2 linked regions of the Nothobranchius furzeri genome follow. The protein of the gene in region 2 purifies or fractionates together with the protein of the main gene of each other region. This does not show direct contact. Links are inferred from orthologs where the notes say so. Each region holds a gene or a part of one and is shown on either strand. Other genes may lie near its edges.

Region 1 (4,510 bases), on a different chromosome or scaffold from region 2:
CTATGAGAACTGCCAATACTCGTCTTCACCCTAATAATATGCTTAAAGTAAAGAATAAAATTAGAAACCCTACTGGTAGCTGTGAGAAATGTAGCTCAGCTTTTAAAACACATCATTTATGTTTTTTACCAGTGACGTGTGATGCTTTTGAAAAGCCTTCAAGCACCAAGAATCCCAGAGAAAGTAGAAGATAAAAAGGCCAACTGTATCCATTTAAATGATCTAATTCTGCTACATGAATGCCTCCCAAGCTTATTAAAATGCTACCAACTCCTGCTAATGATGCTGCTAATTAAACATTGATAACTCTGTTTACCTGACAGGGTGAGGTCCAGTCTGTGGATGAGAGAGCGCTTGGCTGATTCGATCTCAGGACTGGGATGGTCCAGAGTTTGGCGGCACCATACGATGGGACTCAAGGCTTTTTGCAAGGGACTGTTGAGTTTCGCTTCATATAACCTGCAAGAAATCGAACAATTACTTGAAGCAGATCACAGTTTTTGGTTCTGTTTGGTTCATTTTCAAGGCACCAGTTCACACAATAAAAATGTTCACCAAATTTTAAAGACACATTAAATAGAATCGCTTCCAGTAAAAAAATAGAATTAAAATAATCAAAATCAACTGATTTTATTTATTTTAATGCCAACTAACCCTGACAGGTTGAGACTGGTTTTAATAAAGCATACAGAACTAGAGGGTAGTCGTATTTTAAACCTAGAGGCCGGCATTTAAAAAAATAAACATTAATGAAAAAAATGAGTACAAGTGGAGAAACGTCAATACTGACTTTAATGCTTAGTCAGGTCCGGTTAGTTCAAGTGCCAAACCCACTGAGTGACGAAGGGGTCAAAAAAGAGCAAAGCAGGGCTACGAGCCGTCAGGACGGACTGATGCCGTGTGTTACAGAAGTAAAGCAAATATTTGGTGATGCTTCTGAGAGGAGACACGATGACTTTCTACTGAGAGGAGAAATCTGAGTCAGCATTGGTCAGCACCGAGGAAGCCGAGGAGGAAGCCTTTCATGATGAAAGCGGAGACGCTGCGGGGAAAGCAAAGCTCGTGCAGGGAAATACAAGTCTGACATCATGAGAACACATTTTCTTTGTTTTCCAACACATTAACAGTCAGTCACAAGTTAAAAGGCTCTCAAACATCCACCGACGAGCGCCAGGGTGCATTTTAAATCCAGCCTCGCTAATTCATGGGATTATGGGAGTCTGTGACAGAAGCTGGCGACATCAAGGCACTACGAGGTAATCCCACATATCTGATGCAAAAGGCAGAGTAAACAGCTTGGGCCAAATGAAACGGCCTCTGCCAAGCATGAGTGGGCAATATCTGAAAGTATCCCGACATGGAGAGAAGCAGCTGGCACAGGCGCACTGCTGCAAGGATCGCAGGAGCTGGGAACTGATTAAAAACCCAATTAGTTATAATTAATAAAGGGACTTTGTAGTATATTTACAACTTATGGTGCATTACTGACTTGAATACGTTCCATCAAAGGCTGGGCATTGAATAGCCATTAAGGATCTTGACCACAGAAGAAACTATTTAAATGAGCACTCCTGGAAAAAACAAGCTTTTTTAAAAGGATCGTTATTTTGAAATCCAGTTGACATAAACACAATGCACTGGGAGAAATTCAAGAATGGAAAAGTGGGATTATTTGTGATAACAAGCTGAACATGTTGGTGAATCTTAGTCCAAAACATACCCTGATGTGACCCACTTTCTTTAAATAAAGGCAATTTGTTCTGCAAATCCAATGCTTGCAGTGATCCTAATGTCACAGCCAGAGCTTCTATTCCAGCCTAATGACCGTCCTGCTTCAGTACCATTTCCCTCTCGGTGCTGCAGAACACTTGTAGCTGTGTGCCAACTGCTGGGCTAAAGGGAATTCAGAGGAATGAAAACCATGACTACTCTCCCACATGGCTGCTGGGCAGGAAAACAAGCCCGGTTTCTTGCCACCCCTCCCAAGGAAAGCTGAGCTGTCTGCCACATCACAACACCTCCGGGTCCTGACTCCCAACAGCTGATCATTAACAGCAAGTGGACTAGAAAAATGCAGACTGGTGGGACAATGGTTGGTGAAAAACCAGTCTTTGGATGGCCTCGCCCATGCTAAGTGCCAAAAAACACACTTTAGTTGTCCCTAACGGGACTCCTTCTGTGGGATGACTTCAGATTAAAAACAAAGGTGGGACGACTGCTTATGCCAGGCGTGTGCTGTGGAGGTAATGTGTGGAGCAGCTGACATCTGGCCCTGGAGACACTAACAGGCAAGTTTCCTCCCAGAACAAGCCCATCACTCACCAGCTGTCCTCGTCTTCGTTCAGACAATCCATGTCTTCAAGATCTAAGATGTCCACTTCATCCAGGATAGAGGTTTCCCCTTCAGCCGTCAACTCCCCGGCGTTGTCTGGGTAAAGTGAGTTCATGATCGACACCGCGGTGGCAGCAGAAGCCCCCTCGCAGTCATACGCCCTCATGAAGCTGATGCCGTCATAAGACAGCCTGGGTCTCGAACAGCGGCTGTTCTCCAGCAGACCCCCGTAGCCGCCCGTTCCGCCGAACCCCACCCCAGGGAAGCCGGCCAGACTGGCTGACAGGGACGAGTCGTAGCCGGCGCTGTGAGGTCTGTGGTTCCCGGACAGTCCACCGGACGAAGGCAACGACGTGGACCGACTCCGAAGCTGTTCGTTTTGCTGCTCGAGTTTTTTCACCAAGTCCTGGAGCTTCCGCACCTCCAAGTCCGCGTTGATATTAGAGTTGATATCCTCCATGGTGAATCCTCAGCCTGACGGAAATATTCGGTGCTTTGGAGCGTTTTCTTGGCCGGGGCTCTCTTTTTGCCCCTTCCTTTTCCTTTTCCTACGTGTTCCAAGAAGACAGTTTAGAGTTTAAACGACTTAACGAGCTTATCGCCGTCATCTTCTCTGGATATTAGAGTCTACGGGAAGGGTCGAGGCCATTTTCGTATTCGCTACTCGTCACCAACTGTGAAAGACCAACAGGCGGCGGACAACTACGTCACTGCGTTCAATATCGAGAGCGAGCACGTAACCAACACCTATTTGCTCGCGCACCTACAATCACGTGAGCTGGGTTGGAGGGTCACTGAAAACAGACGGTAGACACCACATTCCTCCAGAGAAACAATGTAATTACACATAAATGTGCGATTTAAACAAGAGGAAACCTTCAAGTTTAAATATTCATACATTCAAAAGTTTGTCTTTGTATTTATTAGAAATATATAATAAAATGAAATAAGGGGGTTCTCGTCCCGATCAAAGGTAGTGTCTTGGAGCAGCCGTACAGTCTTGAAGTTTTGCATTTACCTTCGAGGTGGAACGGGGCCAAGTCGCTTATGAGCAGACTTTTTTCTCAAATATATATATTTTAGTTCCAATGATACTCATTTAAGCCAGTCTAACAGGTCTTTGTCACTTTCACTGACAAATTACCTTACCAGATTTGTGATGCAGCTTGTTTTGGTAACATTGCCGTCCTCATCACAGCACACATAACTGTTCCAGCATGTTTTATCTTCACTGAGTTCTACCCAGGGCCGGATTATCATTGCAGGGTCCCCTGGGCACAATGTGCTTAGGACCCCGCCCCGCCCCCACCGGGCCTCCCCCAACATTACTGTCACCCATTAGCACTTTTTAGACATGTCATAACATTGTCAATATTAAAAATCGCTTACTCTTGTTGATACAAAAGCATTTACCTCCAGGTCAAAATAGTTTTATAACCTAATCACAAACACTCATACCTGATGATGTTCCTGTTGTACCTCACTCATATGTCTTTCTTCCTCTGTCCTCTCTTTTCTCCTCTTTTTCTGTCTCTCTCTTCCTCACAGCGTTCCTGTCTTCTCTTCTGTCTGTAATAACAAAAATGTTGTCAATCTGTGGGACAGTGGGGGCGAGTGAGTCTGCTGTAAAACAGATCCCACTGTCACACTACAACAGAAAATAATGCAGGATTATTTAAAAGATTGTACAGTTATTGAAAAGTTTGCAAAGATGAAATATCTGCATGTTTTTTGTTTGTCTCCTGTTTCCTTCCTCCTCGTCTCCTGTCTCCTTCCTCCTCTTGTCTCCTGTTTCCTTCCTCCTCTTGTCTCCTGTCTCTTTCCTCCTTTTGTCTCCTGTTTCCTCCTCTTGCCTCCTGTTTCTTCCCTCCTCTCATCTCCTGTCTCCTTCCTCCTCTTGACTCCTGTCTCTTTCCTCCTCGTCTCCTGTCTCCTTCCTCCTCTTGTCTCCTGTTTCCTTCCTCCTCTTGTCTCCTGTCTCTTTCCTCCTCTTGTCTCCTGTTTCCTCCTCTTGCCTCCTGTTTCTTCCCTCCTCTCATCTCCTGTCTCCTTCCTCCTCTTGACTCCTGTCTCCTCTTGTTGGTCTCCTCTTGCCTTCAGAAAAAACTGCTTTCTGGCCTTTCTATTAGTAAATTCATTTACAATGTCATCAAAGTCCAGATTCCTGACAAGCTGAGA
Region 2 (3,820 bases):
GAGCGACCCAGAAGGTTTTCTGGTACCCCTAGGAAGCCACGGTATCTTTTGGTTTCAGTGCCAACTAGTAATGTTTGGTATAACCGGTATTATTTTGGTCTATGATGTAGAATTTGTACTACCGGCCAACCGGCTGCGCTTGCTGATGAGGAGCGTGACAGTTTAGGGCTTCATCCGCTTTTGCATTACCGGCACGGATCAGCTGATCTGAGCGCAACTGAACAAAAGTGAAAGAAATCGGGTAAACCTCCATTATTGTGATATTATGGACATTAACGCAGTTATTCAAACTCCTGAAATAAAACTAAATGTTATTTGCTTTTTACGTTTTTCACTTTAGTTCTGATAATTTAGAATTTATTGTTTTCATCACATTTAGTTTTTATTTATTTTAAAATGTCCATCTTTATTCATTTATTGATATTTTTTGTTGCATTGTTTGGAAAAATAACCTCAACATAAAATCTTATAATACAAATTTATACAGATTTATTCTATCTGGATCTTTTGTTCTGCATTTCATTTGGTATGCGAGGTTGTTCAAAACCATTTTTACATGAATAAACAAAAGAAAAGGATATGCGTCGTTACCGCACGTGCTCCAGAACTGATCGTGGTTTTGGCCATATCGCCCATTGCTAGTGCTAACTCGACATGACTATTTATCACCTTCCTGTGTTTGACTCGTCTTCGCTTGTCATCCAGAATCTTCTGGTGCTGATCCATAACTGGCAACAGGCATGAAACCCTGGAACGGCGGTGATGTTTGGGCTGTAATAACCAAACAGCACCATGCTGTTTTTACCCTGTCGGAGCAAGGCCGTGCCCATTAATGATTAAACATTTCCGTTGGCACTCCCAACTGCGAGTTCTCCCACAGACGGGGAAGAGAGGCCTGTGATTTTCATCGCAGGTATACCTCAGCCATGACAGACAAAATGAGGAAACACATCTAGAAAATCACATTTGGATTTTTACAGAATTTATTTGCATATTTTGGTGTGAAATAAGTATTTGGTCAATAACGGAAGTCCAGCCCAATACTCTGTGTCATACCTTTAGGTGGCGATGTGCTTTTCTGGGTTTTTTTTTTCATGTCGTGTCACGGTTGAGGTCTACCTCTGATGGAAGTACAGGCCTCTCATCTTTAAGTGGGACTACTTGCACAGTTGGAAGCTGACTGAATACTATGTGCCTGTCTGTATTTTATCAACCTGCGAATAAGACTCTTGGATTCCATGAAATCCTGCCTCCTGCCTGTGTGGAAAACCTGGATACAACAGGTCCTGGGTCAGTGCATCTTTGGTCAGAAAACCATAAATGGCTTAGCCCAACGCTGACTCCAGATCAGAACCGGAACAAAGTCCAGACAGATCCTCTAATAACCCTTGCCAACCTTTTAGGCTGTTCTAGGAACTCACCTGGTGATGGTGGATCAGTCCCGGCCCAACACTTCCTGCTGTTCACCAACAAACTGGATCCACATGTAAAACGCTGAGCATCAGTCAGACCTTTCAGGCTATTCGGTTCCGCCTGAACAGAGACCCATCCTGTCAGTCAGCTGTAGATTAGGTTCTGTTGGAAGTTCTGACTTCAGGTCACTGTCCCTTAGAACCATTGGGTTCTGATTGGATTCAGTTTGTTGTCTGGTTTTTATTGGAGGTGAACCTGCCTGGTCCTGATCCATGTTTAGTGTTTATTATTTAGGCTCCTCCCCCTTCCCCAGTCCATTGAGACTTGTGTTTTGAGATCAACGCTGATCAACTCCAGTTCTGACCATAAATGTTTTGGCCTCCATTATTGAAGCTGATGCTCTGACCCGGATAGTTTAATGGTCCAAATACAGAACCGGTTTATGACTTCCAGGTTCTGTTGGATCCAGACTGGAGCTGAGGCGGCGCTGATCCGTAAGACCCCAGACTAATTTGTGTGTTCCATCTGTCCAGTCAGTCCCGTCAGAACGCGCAGCACAGCGAGCCGTCCCACCCATCCATCCCCAAGGAGTTTCAGCTGGACCTGGACATGATCGAGACGGACCAGAACCGAGTGTGTGAGCTACCGGACCTGGTCCAGCACAAGCTGGACGAGCTGCTGGAGCCCTTCATGATCCCAAAGCCTAAGTGAGCACCATCGACATACATATATGGACAATGGGTTTCCATAGGCTCCAATAACACGTTTTTGTACTAAAATGGGAGGTGGCCACCACCGCCATTTTGACCGTGTCACAGGTTCCGTCAAGCCCAGACAATTCCATAAAAGGGAAGAGAGGTGGAGCTGAGGGTGGGGCTGTAAGGCTGGGATCAACTGATGACACCCGGTCGAACTAGCTACAAGCTAACCCAAAGCTAACGCGGAGGTGGGAGCTAAGCTAACGGAGGTAGCAACCTAGCTACAACCGGAGTTAACTGTGCACAACACCAGAGCTTCTGAGTCGGAGATACGCCGGGCTGACCGCTGGGTAAAACCGGGTGGAAAACATCAGTCTCCCGAGAGCTCCACAAGCCAATAGTTGGAACCCAGCTCCACCAACATGTTATATTTCAACCCATTTTCTAAAGTGCAGCATTATGTTAAATACACTGGGTTTTACCCTATTACATTAAAATTTCATGGTTAAACAGTACATGTTAAAATCTAAGCTCAGCTCGGCAGTGACCTAAAATACATAAATATAATTTTACTTACAGAAAAAAATGAAGTGGAGACTCCTTGGACGCTCTATTAGTGCAATTAATGCCACAGCAAGTCATTTTGTTCAACAATTGCACAAATAATTTCCAAAACAGAATACACACACACAGACACTCTACTGAGGCCTTTCCACGAAGCTAGCTCTGTGGTCACGTGGGTCTGATGCTCATTAATTATACAGAATTTTAGGCTTTTAATACACTTAAACAGAAGAGTGAGAAAAAAAATTCACCCCCCTCAGAGTTGTCATGAGTATAAACTAGATCATTTAGACCAAAAACATGTTTTGGTACCAGGCTGTAAACATGTTTATTTCTGCTGTGAAATTGGTATTTTTAACATGGGAGTCTATGAGGATTTGCTCGCTTCTGACACCAGCCCCTAGTGGATGAGGGTGGAACTGCAATTTTTGGTACCTCCGGGTTGAGACCAATTTTAGAGCCGCATTGTGGGGGCTTGGTGAGCACACACACGCACACGCATTCACACACACGCGTGCGCACTCACACTCGCATGCTCTCACTTACGTACGCACGTGCACACACACGCACTCTCTCATGCACACACGTGCGCATGCTCACACACACGCACGTCTTCCTTTCTGTCTTAGTGAGGCTCATCCAGTGACTTCGTAACCATAACCAATGCTGATCTTTTTCTAACCTAAACAAAAACTTCATTCACACCAAACCTATAAACCAACCGGTAAGCTTTTAAGAAAGCGAGGACCAGAAAAATGACCTCGCTGTTGGTTCAAACCTCATGATGGTCCTCAGTCAGTGCTTCAACACACACACGCACACACCTGCTGATTTCTGCTCGTCTCTGGTTCTAAGGATACGGCCCATCTCGCCCCACTTTGATGAGCTCCACAACAGCACCGCCTCCACCATCAACTTTGTCATCTCCCAGGTGGCGAGCAGCGACATCGGTACCAGCATCCAGGCGCTGGCGCAGGTACGACACCTGAAGGGTGATTGATGAGATCAAACGTGTCTGTTCACTGAAGTGAACTCTGGACTCAGAGCGGGTTGGTTCTGATGGTCTTGGTGTCCTCGTACTCAGATCTGCTGGTGACCTTTGACCTTAGCTCGTTGGGGTTTAGGTGGTGGTGATGAATGTGCTG

Evidence for each region.
Region 1: the proteins of ckap5 (region 2) and slain2 purify together in Homo sapiens (affinity purification with mass spectrometry; 4 studies listed by BioGRID and IntAct, counting the BioPlex papers as one, with this or other methods). This does not show direct contact. The link is inferred for Nothobranchius furzeri from reciprocal best matches to the Homo sapiens genes CKAP5 and SLAIN2.

The regions. Positions count from the first base shown.
Region 1 is NC_091748.1:39,298,803-39,303,312, reverse strand, and holds the start of slain2 (SLAIN motif-containing protein 2), read right to left. Parts: upstream 2,998-4,510; 5' UTR 2,793-2,997; coding exon 2,323-2,792; intron 460-2,322; coding exon 317-459; intron 1-316.
Region 2 is NC_091744.1:80,669,345-80,673,164, forward strand, and holds part of ckap5 (cytoskeleton-associated protein 5), read left to right. Parts: intron 1-1,946; coding exon 1,947-2,120; intron 2,121-3,530; coding exon 3,531-3,651; intron 3,652-3,820. UniProt on the Homo sapiens protein: Binds to the plus end of microtubules and regulates microtubule dynamics and microtubule organization. Acts as a processive microtubule polymerase. Promotes cytoplasmic microtubule nucleation and elongation. Plays a major role in organizing spindle poles.